2 linked regions of the Elephas maximus indicus genome follow. The protein of the gene in region 2 interacts with the protein of the main gene of each other region in a pairwise test. Links are inferred from orthologs where the notes say so. Each region holds a gene or a part of one and is shown on either strand. Other genes may lie near its edges. The genes, in order: GIGYF1 and GRB10.

The links.
Region 1: the proteins of GRB10 (region 2) and GIGYF1 interact in a two-hybrid assay, tested with the Homo sapiens proteins (2 studies listed by BioGRID). The link is inferred for Elephas maximus indicus from reciprocal best matches to the Homo sapiens genes GRB10 and GIGYF1.

Annotation. Positions count from the first base shown.
Region 1 is NC_064830.1:92,094,363-92,103,567, forward strand, and holds the start of GIGYF1 (GRB10-interacting GYF protein 1), read right to left. Parts: upstream 3,843-9,205; 5' UTR 3,578-3,842; intron 3,547-3,577; exon of another isoform or gene 3,418-3,546; intron 1-3,417. UniProt on the Homo sapiens protein: May act cooperatively with GRB10 to regulate tyrosine kinase receptor signaling. May increase IGF1 receptor phosphorylation under IGF1 stimulation as well as phosphorylation of IRS1 and SHC1.
Region 2 is NC_064826.1:112,565,142-112,573,917, forward strand, and holds the start of GRB10 (growth factor receptor-bound protein 10), read left to right. Parts: upstream 1-4,980; 5' UTR 4,981-5,288; intron 5,289-8,776.

The sequences.
Region 1 (9,205 bases), on a different chromosome or scaffold from region 2:
GAGACTCCTCACTAGCCAGTTTGCTCTAGAAGAGCCCCTGTCTTCCAAAGGGACGAAACCTCATCCTATAGACATGGACCGGCTAGGGGCAGCGAGAGGGAAACAGAAAAATGGGAACCCCCCCCCCTCCCAGGGTGTGGCAACAGCAGCTTTCCTCAGTGCTTTCTGCTTCTTGCCTTCACCTTCTGTCCTGGTGTAAGCAACAAGCAGAGGAAAAGTGGCTTAAACAAGCGTGAGAAGCAGGAAAACTGCAGAGGCAAGGGAGGCAGTCAGGGGAGACAAAGAGCCCCTGGGCAGGAAAAGGCCAAAGCCATCCCACCTTCTTGGGGAGAAGCTAGGAGTCAAAGTTCAAGTCTTTAGGACCTGCCAGAGAGGGGTTTGGGGTCCCAGAAGCTGGATGGCTGCCTGATCCTTCCTCAGACCAAATGAACCACTGTCAAGCAGCACAGATGGCACCCCCCCCCCCGCAAAACAAGGTGCAGCTCTGCTCCCCAGGGGGTATTTGATGGACATTTTTCATCACCACAACTGGGAAAAAGGTTGCTACTGGCTGCTAGTGGGTAGAGGCCAAGGATGCTGTTGAACAATGTACAGGACAACCCCCACCACGAAGAATTATCTGGCCCCAAAAGTCAAGTGTGCCACTGTTAAGAAACCCTCCTCTTCCGTGTGAACACAGGTAATGCCCGTTCTGTGTTTATGAGGAAGGGTAAAGGACAAAAACCACATTTACTCAGTTCATTCTCTCCTGTGAACAGTGGGAAAATCCTTCCCTTATGATACTGTCCCAGGAGAGAAAGCCTTGAGAAAATAGCTTAAAGGGGGAAAAAGTTTCTCTATCACAAACTCTCAAACAAAGCATTTGGATCCCCTTCCTATGAAGGCCAGAGCTGGAGAGACAGACAGCAGAAAACTAGGGACCGCATTCTTTTCTGCCTTACATTTTCCTGGCTTTTCTCACATGGCCCCTTCCAGCTTATCCACTACCTCTCTGTACTGCCTCAGTATGCCTACCACATACGACATCTGCCCATTCCCTATCCTTCCATTTCTTCTCTTTCTTGGGCCTCAATACACACTCAGGTGGTACAAAAGTTAGGTGCTCTGCTGCTAACCAAACTTGGGTGGGTCAAACCAATTCAGCTGCTCTGGTGGAGAAAGACCTGGTGACCTGCTCCTGTAAAGATTACAGCCCAGAAAACCCTATGGGGCAGTTCTGCCATCATATGGGGTCACTATGAGTCAAAACTGACTTGACAGCACCTACCAACAATACCCAAGAGCATCTGCTCACTGCTCTAGCATGGGAATTACTGCCATTAAAAGGCTGCCCCCTGCTGGAGATTAGCAGAGAGGACATACACTGGTCCTCACACAGGCTGGAGGGGACAGAAGGAAGCCTGGCAGAGTTCAGAACTCAAGAGAAGGAAAAGACCCAAAAACAAGTGGTCCCGATACCCACTAAGTAAAGACCGTTATTTCCACACCCCATCGCCTCTAAAATTGGCCCAATCCAGAGCAGTGGCCCTTGGCACAGCATGGTACCACGATTAACAGGAGAATTCCAAATTCCCAGCATCTGGAGCAGTCGCCCAGCCCCAAGTCTGCGAAGGTGACTCGGCCCTTTCTCAGGATGGAAAGATTCTCCACTGGGTGAGAACGGTGAGGCTTAAAAGGGGCGTACAAGCCTGTGTTCTTTCTGGCTGGCCCCAGCTCTCTACGCTCTAAGCCCTCATGGTAAATAATAATGCCACCTGGCATTTGTATACTATTTATCGGTTTTTAGAGTGCTTTCACACTTTTCCTTTTTCAGTCTGGGGCTCCAGCCAGGGAAAATAAGAAAGTAAGCTGCAGCTGCTCAACAGGGTTTCCCAACCTCCCTCAGCACCATCCCAGACTGGAGATGGATCGCCCAGCAACAGTTAACTGTCCCAAACGCTCAGGCATACTTTGTGTGTTTAAAACCATTTTTATTTTGTCAGACTTTTTTTTTTTTTTTTTAAACCCTCACGCAGCCTCTTCTCACCTTCTCTCCTCTTAAATATGGCTACTTTTTCTACCCCAAACTCCAACCACAGATGTAAAAGTCAGGCCAAACTGGGTCCTTTATCCATCGCATCACACACAACACTAATGCACCCACTAGCTGAAAAAGCTAGTCCAGAAGTCTAAGCACTCAACTCTCTAGACTTCAGTCACCATAGGAGACCTTACAGGCCCCTGCCCCCCGAGGAGAGGGCGGATTTGCCCCCAAACCTTTCCCAGTTACATGACAATGGGGACACAGACCCAAACAATCTAGGAAATAAAACGAGCTAGGGTGGAGAGTGGGTGGCCTGGGATTGCAAAGGGAAGAGTAGAAATGGGAAAGAATCAAAGACAACTCATATTGGGAGAAGCAGACCAGGACTGGCCTATTAGTACTGATGGTTTCACTTCCCAAGGCAAAGGGGCAGCGGGTAAATTGAAACTGGCGTGTTAGCCTGGAGGGGCTGTGGGAGAGGCTGGGGGGAAGCCCACGAACTTTGGGAAAACAGGACTTTGAGAAACAAGAGAGGAGTAAAACTGGGGTGGGCAGAGGCAAGAGCCAGCCAAGTATGCATTTAGCATCTATCAGTGCCAAGCACTTCGATGGAAGAAACGTGGAAGCTTACTGGGAATTCTGGTAATGACTGGGTAAAAAGTGATAAAGATAAGGGTCTCTCTGCAGTTACCTGAAAAAATGCAAAACCTGAGGGGCTGTGGCCAAGGAGCTGCCGCATCAGGGGAGATGGGCTGAGGAGGTGCGTGTGAGGGCCTAGCTTGGTGAAGGATTAAAGAGTCTCTGTTAAAGAAGATGTTTAATACTGACAAGCAACTGGGAGGAAGGAGACCCCAATGACCAAGCACTAACGTCGCTTGCTGAAAGGAAATTTTAGTGAAGAACCAGTCGAGATGTCTGATTACGGGAAAAGGCTTCCAAAGTCATGAACGCTTGGACTTTAAGCCCCGCAAGGCCCAGCTGATTCCCACAAGAACACCGAGGCGTGTTGGGGAAAATCTCCAGGAAGCGCCAGTCACACAGCACGGGCTCTGTGAAGAGCTGACCATTAGGGTCGGGGACCCCCTCGGCGGGCCCGGCGGAGGATGCGAGCGGGTGGGATGAGGCCCCCGGGGGAGATCGGCTCTCCGCCCCGGGCAGAATTTGGGAAGGGCCCGAAGGGGCGACCGTTAGGAGCGCGGGGGTGGGGAGGAGGCGGGCCGGGCCGGGGAGGACAACGTGCCCTTCAGGGAGGGGGCGCCAGGTGCGCGGGGCGCGGGGTGAAGGGCGAGCGGCGCCAGGAGGGCCCTGGGCTCTGAGGGCGCGCGGGGGCACGGCCCGCTTCGGGGGAGGGTCCGCCGGCGGGCGTCGGGGAGGGGCCGAGAGGGCGGACGCACCGGGCAGGCGACGGCGACCTCGGGGAGGAGACGGGGGAGGGTCCGGCCGGCGGCCCGCGCTCTGGCTCTCGCAGGCTCCGCGCGGCCGCCTCGGCGTCGGGGGCGGGCCTGCCCCAGGCCCGGCTGCGGGCCGGGGTCCACGAAGCCGCCGAGCGCTTACCGCGGGCGGGTGGCGCGAGGTTCGGTCCCAGGGCGTTGGCGGCGCGCGGAGGGCGGGCGGCGGGCGGGCAGCGGCGGCGGGGGAGGGGGCGCTGGCGCTCCCGCGGCGGCCGCTCCTCTCTGTTTGTGTTTGTAGCAAGATGGCTGCCCGCCTCGCACCACGTGACGCGGACGCGGGGACGCGGGGCCGCCCCCTCCGCCGTCGCCGCCACCGCCCTCCGCGGCTCCCGCGGGCTCGGACCCCGCACGGCCTCGCGCGCTCCCCGCGTGTCCAGAGGGGCGCGGCACTGACGCCCGCCCCGCCGAACGCCCCGGCACGTGACCCGGGAGCCTGGCTCGTCACGTGACGTGAGGCCTGCTGCTGGCGGGGCGGGGGGATGCCCCCGGGGTTCTCCCTGAGCTCCCGGGGGTACCCCCGGCACGTGACGCGGGACCCTCGGGACTGAGACCAGGGCTAGTGGCATCTTCGCCAATTCCTGACCAGTCGGCTTCCTTCAGGAAGCCCGCCTGGATTGAAAGAGACAAAATCGAGAAATGTGCATTATGCATCTTGGGATATGTGAAATAAGCGAAGAACCTCATCACTTAGAAACAGTCCCAGGCGGCAGTGGCTTGTGAGACCTGGAGTTTCTGGTTCAGCTTCTAGATCTCGGGCGAATGAGTTGAAGGTTTCGAGCCCCAGCTTCTTTTTTATTTAAAAAAAAAAAAAAAAATAGTGCCGTCTTTTTTACAGAGGGGTGTTAATGCTGTTCCCACCACCCACCCCCGCGTTCCCTTCATTGATTGCTGTAAGAATTTAAATAGGTGAATGTGAAAGCTTTGGAAAGAGACAAACTACTATGTAAATGTGAGACGTTAGGCTGAAACTTCGTTTGTTTAAAAAAGAGGTTTTCAAGAATGACTCCTCCGAATCGCTGAAATTTTTAGGATGAAAAAGTTTTGCGTGTGTGTTCGTCGTTTTCTTTGGAAGTCATTCCAGAATGTAGACTTTACTTTCCCACTTTCTAAAACAGCTGTTACCAAACACAATGTAATCCTTTTCATGACGGGAAAGTAAGTTCATGACTTGGAACTTGAGTCCCTTGTGTGGTACCTTAACAGAATGTGGACTTCAGGAGTGATCTCGAAGGCCCTTTGTTCCTTCAGTAAGCACCCTCTTGCTTCTGTGCACTGTAGTTTTAGTCTTTTTTTTTTTTTTTTAAGCATGCTTTAAGTGGAAGTTTATAGCTCAAGTTGGTTTCTCATACAAAAATTTATACACACATTGGTATGTGACCCTAGTTGCTATCCCTATGTCAGCACACTCCTTTCCATCCTGTATTTCCCGTGTCCATTCAACCAGCTCCTGTCCCTTTCTGCCTTTTCATCTCACCTCTACACAGGAACTGCCAATTTAGTCTCACGTATCTACTTTTATCTACTTGAACTAAGAAGCACAGTCTTCGGGAGTATCATTTTATGTCTTACAGTACAGTCATCTCTGTCTGAAGATTTGGCTCCAGGAATGGTTTTAGTTTGGGGTCAACAGAGAGTCCAGGCAGTGTCTGTTTTTTAAGTTTTGTTGGCTTTCCTGCTTCTGTGTTGTCTTGCTTGTCTTGTAAGCTGCTTGCTTACTGGCTGGAAAATGCAGTGGTTAAGAATAAGGACTCCATCCCTTACTGACTGTGACCTTGGGCAAGTTGGTTAACCTGTCTTTTGTGGTTTGTATCCTAAAGCATTTAGCATGGTACTCGTCAAGCCAAACACTCCACAAATGTTAGCTAATAGGGGCTTCTGGTTTAATGTGATTTGTGAAACGCAATATTCAGGACAGTTAACACTATGAAAATGTGTATCAGCAGAACGCAGCTTGAGTCAGAGAACTGCTAGAATAAAATAAGTGTATGGCCACTGTTTTTTCTACTTAAAAGCTTTTGTTGGTGGTTTACTTTTCTGGATTGGAGTTATGTTCTAGGTGGTTGAAGTTACCAGCAGCCTAATCTCTCAATTTAATAAGCAAACGAGATTGTAAACTATGGTAAAGAGATTATACAGGGAAAAAGAGGGTGGGTCTCTGTGGGGTGGAAGCAGCCAGGACACTGGCTGTTTGAGCTGATCTGGTGGGAAGGGCAGGATTTGGATAGATTTAGGAAAAGTGCAGAAGTTCCTGGGTAGTGCAAATGATTAAGCACTCAGCTACTAGCCAAAAGGTTGGTGGTTCGAACCCACCTAGATACCCCTTGGAGGTAAGGCCTGGCCATCTGCTTCTATAAGGTCACTGCCATAAAAACCCTATGGAGCGCAGTTCTACTCAATGGCAACTGGTAGGAAAAGTGTGTGTAGGTTTGTGAAGAGTGACAGTCCGGGCTGATGAGAGAAGAGGATCCTGAACCGCTAGTTGAACAAGAAATGAAGTGAAACTTAAGTTGAGGGGCTGGAATGCTGCTGTGAAAGTCTGCGTTTGAGAGTAGAAACCACTGTGGATGTAGCATAATAAGGACAGCACACTGGATTCCAGGGTAGAAGGTTGGGGCGATTGCGCAGGATCCCCTGTGTATCATTTTGCAAGTCATTTAATCTCCCCGACTCTAAAGTGGGAGGGCTGTTTCTGATGACACTGAATGTATAGGCTGCCTCTTTGAGGAAGGAAACAATTAAATCTGAACTGTGAATCTCCCATCCGGTATTATGAAAACAGTCACTTGGACCTAAAATACTTTTGTTTATTCAGGTGCTATGCTGTAGAATGTCTTGATCTGGGTTGTTTTCAATTTGCAAACGTTTGAACTTAACAAAGATTTAGTTAAGATGATTAATTGAGATAAAAGGGAGGTCTCAAGACTAACAGCCAATCTCTGCCTTTTTTATAATGCCAGGTTCATCTGTGGTGTTTTCCTTCAATGAAATGTAAAGAGATAAGGACTCTCTTGTTGTTAAATCAGTTTATTACAGAGACTGACTTCACCCACCTAAATTGCCAATGTTTATATTTAGCTGGATATCAACACTTGTAAAACATGTGTCAAATACCATGAAAAGACACACAGCCTGAGCAATGTGGTGATAGTTCATTAAAGTGACAAAAAAAAACCTGTTGCGTCAAGTCGATTCCGACTCATAGCAGCCCTATAGGACAGAGTAGAACTGCTCCACAAGGTTTCCGAGGAGTGGCTGGTGGATTCAAACTGTTGACCTTTTGGTTACCAGCTGATTTATTAACCACCACGCTACCAGGGCTCCTGATTAAAGCAAAGCCTCATAAGTTGTCTAAATTCCTGAGGAGTAAGAAACAGGATCAGCACAAAACTGGTTCCAGTGGGGCGGAGGTTCAGCTATAACTCTGCCTCCCCACTTTCTCCATAATTTCTGACACCAGCCACTCCCCCCGTGACACTCTACTTCTCTGCAGGACTTGATAATTTATTGCAGTGGCCTCACAGAACTCACAGACCATACTCACAGTTATGCGGTTTATTAGGAAAGTTAACAGGTTATATAACTCAGGACCGTATCAGCTTGGAAGTTGCAAGAACGCAGGATCCGTGTCAGGAAACACACAGGCCTCCAGTGATCAGTTGGGTGTGGCTTCTCTGCCAGGTGGCTGTCTTCTCTGCCTTGCAGGCCCCTCCATTGTCAGGCTCCCTGCCACTAACTGGCCCAGCTCATAGCCAGTATAGCAGCCTGCTCAGCTTTCTCAGCTGCTGCTCTGCTAGTAGCAGCTCTGTACCGTCAGACCTCTCTGCCATCGGCTCTTCCATGGCTAACTGGCCCAGCTCATAGCCAGTGTAACAGCCTAGTCAGCTTTCTTAGCTGCTGCTCTGCTAGCAGCAACTTTCTGCTGTTGGACCTCTCTGCTGTTGGGTGCTCTGCTTTCAGGCTATCCGCCTTCAGCCTCTTTGCTGCTAATTGGGCCAGTTAACCGCCCGCGTAGCAACTGTTCAGAAGTAGGCCTCTTTGCTGCTAACTACCCCAGCCAGTGTAGCAGCTTCAAGATCACTCAGTTCCCACGTGGCTCTGCTTCTCTGTTGGGCAGCTCTTAGCCAGTATCTCCCTCTCTCTTCCAGGAGGCCTCTCAAAACTTCTGCAGTTCAGCCATTTATATATCCTGATCCTTGTCAGTTACAAGGCGAGGCCTCCCTCATCAGACCAGTTCAACCAATCCTCAGTCAACCCCTGCAATGTCAATCAACTCAGGTCTTGTTAGTTATCAGGGGGAAGTATCAAACCATCAAGTTGCTTTTACAGTTTACCCAGGAAATGTCAATTAACCTAGAAGATCCCTTGGGCAAAAGTAATACACCGTTTGGGGTAGAAAATAACCTGGGAGCCCCCGCCCACATTGCTTCTCCGAAAAATTAGGAAAAAGAGTTTAAGGGGGAAAATCTCCCAAGCTGGTTTTTCCCAAAGAACCAAAGCAAAAGGCCGCGTAAAGGAACTCAATTTGCCATGTCCCTAAACTGTGCTTGTAGTAAATTATTTCAGACACAGTGGGCCTTAACATTAATGTATTACATTCAGAATTACTTTTGGCCATGAATTAAGTTTTCTGATCGGCCTACGTAACAAGGGTGGCAATATTTCGGGGATTTGGAACAGCAGCTTTCTATTATCCACTGCTCCTTCTATGTGGTCAGGCAAGCTGCTTGCTCACAGGCTAGAAAATGCAGCGGCTCAGAGTGAGGACTCCCGCGCTGCTTCCATCCTGTACTGACTGTGGCCTTGGGCAAGTTGGTTAACCTCTCTGTCTGGGGTGGTTTGTATCATAAAGCACTTGTCACAGTGCTTTAAAGTTAAAAGTACGCCTGACAATTTCATAACCCCAAACAACGTGGAACTTTCTTTATATTTGGATAATAGCCACTTGGTGGAGTTGATGTGAGGACAGGAAGAGAGAATGCCTCAATAAAGCACACTATTAGGGGTAAACTGGTCTGCAAATGTTAGGTGTATTGTTAATAAGACAGACCACACACAAAAAGCAGTTGGGTTTTTAATACACAAGCAATGAACAAGTAGAAAAGAAAATCAAGGAAACATTACTATTTACAATAGGCAAAAAAAAAAAAAAAAAACCAAACACGGTGCTGTCGAGTTGATTCCGACTCATAGCAGCACTATAGGACAGAGTAGAACTGCCCCATAGAGTTTCCAAGGAGTGCCTGGCAGATTCGAACTGCTGACCCTTTGGTTAGCAGCTGTAGCACTTAACCACTACGCCACCAGGGTTTCCACTAATAAAATACCTAGGAATAATTTTAACTAGGAAGGAGAAAGACATGTGCACAGAAAACTGTAAAACATTTCTAAATGAAATCAAAGAAGACCTAAATAAATGGAAGGACATTCCATGTTTGTGGGTTTGAAGGCTTGCTATAGTTAGGATGTCAATACTATGCAAAGCAATCTATAAATTCACTGCAGTCCCCATCAAAATTCCAACAGCTTTCCATGCAGAAATGGAAAAGCCCATCCTCAAATTTGTATGGAAGGGCAAGGGACCCTAAATAGCTAAATCAATCTTTTCAAAAATTTTATTTATTTTCTTGAGAATATACACACACGTTAATTCAACAGTTTCTACATGTACAGTTCAGTGACATTGATTATATTCTTTGGGTTGTACAACCGTTCTCACTCTCCTTTTCTGAGT
Region 2 (8,776 bases):
ATGTCACTAAATGGTACATAGAGAAACTACTGAATTGGTGTTTTGTAGTGTATATTCTCAACAGGAAAATAAAATTATGTGTATAAAAAGGGGGAAAAAAAAGACATCATAAAGAAAATGAAATTTCACGGGAACTCAAAGTAAGTGTTGCTATATAGCCCAAGGCCTGGGGAGACAGTAGGTGAAGGGCGTCTCTCTTCTGCCACATTTGGGTCTTTCTTTAGTATATCATCCTTAACATCTTTAGCCCAACTCACCTGTTCTTCACAGATGGCTCCCCTTATCCTGTCCCCTTCCAGTACGTATGGGTTCAAATTCCAAAGCAGGCATCTGATTGGCTGAGTTCATCCTTTGCCCACAGGCTGATCTATGGAATGGGAATCCTTGGTCAAAGCAATTGTTCTTAGAGACCAAGGAAAACCAGGGTTGTGGAGGCAAACCTCCAGTCAGGAAGAAAAATGGTAGGCCCATTATGGACATAACGTATAAATTTCTTAGCATGGCAAGTAAGACCCTTCTTGATCTGTCTCCTTCTTACCTAGTCTCTCGTCAAATCTCCTGACCACCCTTCCATGATCCCCAGGCTCAGCATTCTGACTAAGCGCAACTACTTGGTGTCCTTCAGTGAAGTGTTGTTCCCTGAAGGAGCCAAATTCTTCTTGGCTATAGTCCTAGAAAAGGTCCTTATTTGACAGATACGGTTTGTGCTTGACTGCTAACCTAAAGGTTGGTGGTTCGAACTCAGCCAGCAGTACCGTAGAAGAAAAGCCCTGGCAATCTCCTTCCATAAAGATTACAGTCAAGAGAACCCTATGGATCTCAGTTCTATTCTGCACACATGGGCTTGCAATGAGTCGGAATGGAGTCCACAGCAACCACCACCACCATAGTCCTAAGTACCTGCTTCTTCCTTTACCTGGAAGACCCTTTCTTTAGTTCTTTCTTTGACTAACTTACCAACTTTGATGCTCCAGGACGCCACTGGGGCGTGACCACCACTAGGAAGCTGTCCCTGAATGCCCCATCCCCCCAACTCTATACTCCAGGGCAACCTGCATTTCTCTAGTTCAGAGGTTTCAAAAAATCTTAGTGTTTGGAATACTGGTGTGCAGGTGGGTCTTGGTGGAGTTTGTGAAAAATGTCGCTTGACCCTGGAGTGCGACTCTCCTAGGGCTGGGACGGGCCCAGGAATCAGCCGTGCTTATGGGCCCCTGTGGCAGCAGTCGTTCGGTGGTAGCACTCTTGCCTTCCATGTGGGAGACCTGGGTTCAATTCCTGGCCAATTCACTTCATGTGCAGCAACCACCTGCCTGTGAGTGGAGGCTGGTTGTGTTGCTATGATGCTGGACAGGTTTCACCGTAGCTTCCAGACTAAGGCAGACTAGGAAGAAAGGCTCATGATCTATTTCCAAAAACGTCAGCCATTGAAAACCCTATGGATCATACTGGTCCAGAGTTGCCATGAGTTAGGGGTGACTGGACAGCTAACAACAACAAAAAAGCCCCTTTGGGGTACAGAGGCAGGCAGTCAGTTTATGCACTAGGATGTGAGTATTGCTGACTGCAGATCAATCCCCTACCTGCATTGGCACGTGCGTGGCTGAGTCATGTGACCAGTCTTAGCCCCAAGTGGCCAGATGTGAGGGGAACCTTTGACCAGGGCATTTAACTGTCAGGGTGCCACTTGCCCTGCTCCCCTTTCCTTTGCCAAGGCTACTGGTAATGTTTGAAACGACGGCTGCTCCATCAGGCCAGGTCTCGGTGTTTTCATTTGTTCCACTCGTTTCTTCTACTAATAAATTCCTTCACATGAGACTATTTCCCAGTAATGCTTATTTTGCTTAGTGCTCCCTCTGCTGGGATGACACTGGTGACCTCTCTCATCCTACTTACAGTCAAAAAGGGAGACAGACATTAGTCAGTTCATTACTAATTAGGAATTCGAATCGCTGAGATTCTCTGCTTTCAGCCAAATGAGTCTTACAACATATGTTCGGATAATTGAGTTCCTGCCTGTCACAAATCTTGTCTCCTGTCCTGAGACCTAACCTTCCAGCTAATACGTTTTTCTGTGGTGAAGTTCTTGAACTATAAAGACACTCTGCCTTGTGCCTACTAGGCTGGCTCTCTGTATAATTTATAGGCTGCATTGCTGTATTCCACTTCTGGCTTCCATCCTGAGGGAGGGAGCCTGTGGGCCATGGGCATCAGGAGTCTGGGGCAGGGAAGACAATCTGCCTACAGGAGTGGCTCGGGCAGGATGGCTGCGCTGAGGACAGCTGCCGCGTCTCCAGCCACAGGAGTGCCAAGATGCGTGAACTTGTATCAAAAAGTCGTACCGATCGTGTCCTGCCCAGAAAGGAGAGGCAGGCATGGATGTCTATGGGAAAAATGTGGGGAATAAAGCCCTGTCCTAGGAATTCTGGTGATGGATGTCAGTATGAAAACACTTGAGGACACTTATCTTAATCCTTTCTTAGTGAATAGTAATGTTTAAAAACCCATATATTTCCAGACAACTAAATGTAATACCTGACCATAGACTGGATGTTGTAAAGAAGAGGAAGAAAACACCATAAAGGACACTATCAGACTGACTGACAAAATTGGAATATAGATATAGATTAAAAAAAAAAAAAAAAAGATTAGACACAAGTATTTTATCAATGTAAATTTATGAATCTGAGAACTGTACTGTAGTTATGTAGATAACATTGCTATTCTTAGGAAAGATGGAAAGATATATCAGGTATGTATGGCAAAGGGCCATGGTGTATGTACCAAAATAAACCAGCTCCATCTAGTCCATTCCGACTCAGGGCAACCCCTTTTGTGTCTGGGGAGAACTGTGTTCCATAGCGTTTTTAATGGCTGAGTTTTTGGAAGTAGATTGCCAGGCCTTTCTTCTGAGGTGCCTCTGGGTAGACACAAACCTTCAACCTTTCAGTTAGCAGCTGAGTGCATTACAATTTGCACCACCCAGGGACTCCAAGGTGTATGTAATTACCCACAAATAGTTAAAAAAAAAAAGTATATGCATATTGGTACTTTTCAAATGCAGTCCCTGGATGGCACAATAGTTTAAGCACTCAAGGGCTAGTGAATAGGTTGGCGGTTCGAACCCACCCAGAGGCAGCTCAGAAGACAGTCCTGCTAATCTGCTTCTGAGATGTCACAGCCTTGAAAAGCCTATGGAGCAGCTCTATTCTGCACACGTGGGGTTGCCATGAGTTGGTATCCACCTGATGGCAACTAGTACTTTTCGAACATCTATAAAAGCCCCTGTCTCTCAAGCATTCTGGCTGCTGAAGACATGGACTGCTATAAGGTTCAAAGCATAGACATTTAAGAAGTTGACCAAAACCTAGTTTCTCTTCTTTCCTGTAGTCTTTACATTTTTCAAATCCCTTGCTTAAAATATAATCCCATGTGTTCCTTTTCCCTAGGAATCTTTCGTTCGCTCCATCCTCCCATGATTTTCATCTTAATGCTTTCTGAGCTTGGACCAATGGGTAGAAATGTTTCAGTTCCAGAAAAAGAAGTCTAGTACACAGAATACTGTGGGAAAAACCATTACTAGAAGGAAAAGAAATACAGAAACAAATGCTAAAAGGTGCCTAAAAAGGGCTTCAGGGTCCCTGGGTGATGCAAATGGTTAGGCATTTGGCTGCTAAACGAAAGGCCAGAAGTTCAAGTCCACCCAGAAGCACCTAGGGTGTCTGTCCGGCATGGCAATCTACTTCTGGACAAATCAGTCACTGAAAAACCCTATGCAGCACGTTTCTATTCTGACACACATGGGGTCACCATGAGATAACAATGGGTTTTCAAAAGTGCTTTGGCCTGGTAAATGGCATTGAATTCTTTCTCTGCCACTTACCAGCTACCTGGACTTTGGCAAATTATTTAGTACCTCCAAGACTCAGTGTCCAAGTCTGTGAAGTGGGTAGCTCCCAGTAACAACCTTAGAGGGCCAGGGTGCAGACTGAATGAAAGAATGAATGAGTGCTGGCACAAAGTATGTGTTCAATAAAAGTAAGTTACTGTTGTAGCTTTTTAAAAAACAACATTAAGGCCCAAAAAAGACATATTATTATTTTCCTCTTTGTATTATAATTTTGACAGCATAGACATAAGTAATCATATTAACGACAATAGTTTCCATCAACGCGGGGGTTCATTCCTGCCAGTGACTTTATGTTATGGGTATGACCTCATTTAACCCCCATGACTCTGAGGCCTGTGTTCTTATTAGCCCATTTCAAAGATAAGGACACAGGCTAAGCGACATTAAGGAAATATTCTGGTCTTCCCACTCTATCACCACTCTGATACTCACTTGCAGATGGGAAACTGAGGCCCAGAGTGGCAAAAGCCGCAAACCCACTGACTATGACTGACACTGGAAACCCAGGTTTCCTTTTCCTGGCCCGGGGACCGCCATCCCCACGACAGAGTACGGGCAGCTGCAATTTATCTGTCTCGTCCTGATGAAGAATTTTGGACTCGCCCAAGATGAAGAATTTGGACTGGATCGTTAATACTCCTGAGTTTCAAACATTCACTTACAAACTGCCTTTTGAAATAGTTCCGATCTCTCATTAGCTCTCGGTTCCCGCGTCCGCCCCGGCCCTAGGGCAGCAGGGGGAGGGGGTTCCGGGGCTCATCCACGGCTGCCTGTCCCTCCTCGCTCGCCTCAGGCACGGGCCGCGCAGACGCCGCCGGCGCCGCCCGGGGGATGCTCCGCCGAGGCCCCTGCCTTACTCTGCCCCGACGCCCTGCGCGTCACGCCCGGGCCGAGGCCACAGCTCCTCCCGCCGTGGCGGCTGCCCAGCGGTCCGGGCTGCGGCGGTGGCGGGAGGAGGAGCAGGAAAGGCGGCCGGGGGAGGAGGCGGAGGCGGAGGAGGCGGAGGAGGGGCGGGCGGGGCTGGAAGAGTTTAAAGCCCATTGGGGGGGGCGGGGAAGGCAGGCACGGAGGAAGGAAGGCAAAGGAGCTGGAGGCGCGGCGGGCCGGGAGGCGGCCGGCTGGACGGCGAGTGCGCGCCGCGGGCGGGCAGGGGTCGGGCACGGCTCTGGGAGACCAGGCGGTGACCACGCAGGACCGGCGGCGGCGGCGGAGCCAAAGTTTTCGCGCAGTCCTTCGGCGCGGCGCCGGCGCGGGTCCCGACCGGGTGACGGTCCTGCGCGCCTCTCTCAGTCCCCGCGGGGAGACCCAGCGCGGCGTCCGACCGGGCGGGAGTGTCGCCCGCGGCCACGCGGAGGCGGCCGGGGAACGGCGCCCGCAGCAGGTATGGAGCGGCCCCGCCGGCCGCGCGCCGCTGACTTGGGCGGGGAGCGCTGCGGGGAAGTTACTTTGTCGCTTGGTGTCCTCCGCGGGAGGGGCCGGGCTCGCCGGCCGGCCTGCCGGGCCCGGTTCGCCGGGAGCGGCCGGTCGCCGGCATTGTCTGCGCGCTCGCCGGCAGCGGCCAGAGCCGGCGGGCACCCCGGGAGGCGCGGGCGGGGCGGAAGGGCGTCGCCTCCGGGCGGGGGGCTCAGCCGCCCCGGGCCCGAGGCTGGAGGCACCAAGAGGCGGGGACTCGGGATGCGAGCGAGCGCGCTTGGAGCCGGCCGGGCGCTTCGCCCGGGGCTCTCTCCCGACTCCCTTCGCGACCCCTTGGGGGAGGTGTTGAGCGCAAACGGTGCATTCTTGAACCATCTTGTCAGACGCTAGCTGCACTCGCGGTGGGGGTGGGGGCCGAGGCCGCGCTCCCGGGGGGCTGCCCCGGGCTCGGGGAGGGCTAGCCGCGGGGCGCTTCTGCAGCCCCCTCCTTCCAACTGAGGTGGGGGCCGCGACGCTCGTGGCCTGGCCAGCCGCGGGGTCAGCGGTGCACGGGCACTCCCAAGTCCAGAGCGCTGCGCGGCCTGGGACTCCGGCCCGCGGGGAATTTTTTTTTTTTTTTTTTTTTGGCTTTGTTAGTCACCCCGTTACCCCCTTCTGGGCCTAACATCAAGTTGAGGGCTCGCGGATTAGCCGCCGCGCCAGCCGTGGAAATGTGATAAGAGCGATACCGTTTGCAGAAGGAAATTTCTGATGCAATGCTCTGCCTTTTCTGATTGCCTCTCCAAACGCCTGCCTGGTGACGGTACTCAAGCATGTGCGTTATGGAAATTAGGGTATTTACTTTTTATGCGGCTTTTCTTTTTTCGGGATTGGAAGAAACGCTACATTTTTGTTGTTTGCTTTGACTGAAACCTTGGGTAATGTAGAGGAGCCACAGGTGACTTTTACACGGCCCTGAATCTTTAGGATACATTTAAGAAATGTTTTCCTGCAAATGTAGTACCCCGTTTCATTCAAGAGATGCAAAGAAAAGAACCCAAATAAGTAGCGCTCTTGAGTAAATATGCATTATTGCACAACTTTCTCTTTGCTGCTGTTTAAAAGGCCAGGCCCAGAACACTTTGTTTCTGAAAATGCTGATTCAGCCGTTTGGAGCTCCTGAGTTTCAGAAGCGGTGCCGTATTTAACGTTTCGCTCAGTTTTTACCAGGAGGAACACATGTCAGCGCTGCAGCACAGCACTGACCGAGGTGTGGGCCACAGTGCTAGTCAGTTTTCCCAAGTCTTGACCAAGAGTTTCATCTTTTCTTTCTTGGAGGAAAAATAGGTGGGAGCTAGGTTTCTGCAAGAAGAAATTCTGGTCTGTGGCAACGGTGAAATGTCTTTTAGGGGAGTGTGTTGTTCTGTCAAAGCCATGAAACCAAATGTATCTCCAGGAATGCTTCTAGGTGTCTTAGTAGTTCTGTTAAAAATCAAAACTCTAGGATTACTGCACATACTGTTTGAGTTTTACCAGGAGCATTTGAAAGAAGGGGCCACACAGGCCAATCCCTAGATTACAGGGAGGGGATTTGAGGACAGACCAAGTCACACACCCAGCAGCATTGCCTGTGTAACTGAGAAGTGTAGCGACTGACACTGCTGTAGCATTTCAGTTTACAAGGCACTTTCAAAAGCCTTGCTGCTTTTAATCCTTCTACAGCTTCCTGATCCCCATTTTACAGATGTGGAAACCAAGGCTCAGGAGGTTAACGGGTATGCCCAAGGTCCCCAAACAGCAAATGGCAGAGCTGTACCTGAGCCTAAGCCTTGAATTCTTTTTAGTCCTGTGTGTTTTATACTTCTGCACAAGTACATCCTCTCAAAAAGGGTGATGGCAGCAGGGAGGAGGCACACCCCTCAGTCACACGGACAACTAGGAGGACCTGTGACCCTTGTTTAGCCCCCGGCACCAAGCATTCAAGATTTCTGCCCTATTGCCATGCTGCCGTCAATATTTTTTTTTAGCCCATTCACATTGTATACTTAAAAGTTGTTAGCTGCCTTTCAGTTGGCTCCTGACTCATGCAAATGGGAACAAAACGCAGCTTGGTCCTGCTCCTTCTCCATGATCAAGTTGTGGATTGGACCGTTGTGATCCGTAGGGTATTCATTGGCTGATTTTGGAAGTAGGTCGCCAGGCCTTTCTTCCTACTCCATCTTTAGTCTGGAAGCTCCACTGAAATCTGTTCAACACCATAGCAGTACGCAAGGCTCTACTGACAGGTAGTGACTGTGCCTGAAGTGTACTAGCCAGGAATCGAATTCGGGCCTCCTGCATGGAAGGCAAGAATTCTGCCACTAATCAAAATGCCTCACGTACTTAAGTAGGTGTTTATTTTAAGAAGAACCTTTGATATTCATGAAGTCATGGGTTTAATATGATAGTTACGTTTTTTGCGAGTTGTGTACCCCTAAAGTCACCTGTTGGGTATCACTCGTGGTTTGCTGCATTGCTTTTGTGGTAGTGTTTGACTGGTCAAAACACTTGCCATTTTGTGGACTAGGAACCCGGGAGCTGGGCAGATTCATGTCAGTTACTTAGCCAGGGCTTTGTGGTCTGATGGGAGCCACCAGGATTGGAACCCATGGCAGCCCTGGCTCAGTCACAGCAACCGGCTCTGTGTGCCCTCTGCCTTTACTGGAAGAAAAGAGCAGAATCAGAATTTAAGAGCAAACTCAGCAGTTCTTATTTTGATGACTTGGCTGGGTCTGAGACTTTGCAATGTATAGAAACCATACTCTAGCTTGAACAAAGACATCTTTTGTGCCTTCAGCTTCATCCCAGAGGTGTAAAAATTCTTGGTTTGTATATCTGATAAAAACTAATGCTTTAAAGGTGGTATAATTTAAGGAACCTATTTCCTTGGACTTCTGTCCAGCTCTGAATTGCAGGGGGAAGAAGCCTATACAGTGGCAGAATGTATGTTAGCTGTATCTAAGTTTGTGGTTCAGTGGTTAAGCATTCAGCTGCTAACCAAAAGGTCGGCAGTTAGAATCCATCAGCTGTTCCTTGGAAACCCTTTGGGGCGGTTCTACTCTGTCCTGTAGGGTTGCTGTGAGTTGGCATCGAGTCGATGGCAGCAGGTTGGGTTGAAGTTAGTTTAAGGAGCTCTAGTGGTGCAGTGGTGAAATGCTCTGCTGCTAACCGAAAGGTTGACAGTTCGAACCTACCAGCTGCTCTGTGACAGAAAGACATGGCAATCTGCTTCTGTAAAGATTTACAGCCTTGGAAATCCTATGTGGCAGCTCTGCTTTGTCCTGTAGGATCACTATGAGTCGGAAGTGACTCTGGCAATTTTTTTTTTTTTTTTTTAGGGTTAGTTTGCCTTCCTTTTGGAATTCAGCAAGCTAATTGCTTGAGATTTCTGAATTTCTGTCCTGTTTGGTGCCTGATGGGGTGGAAGCCTGTGCTTTG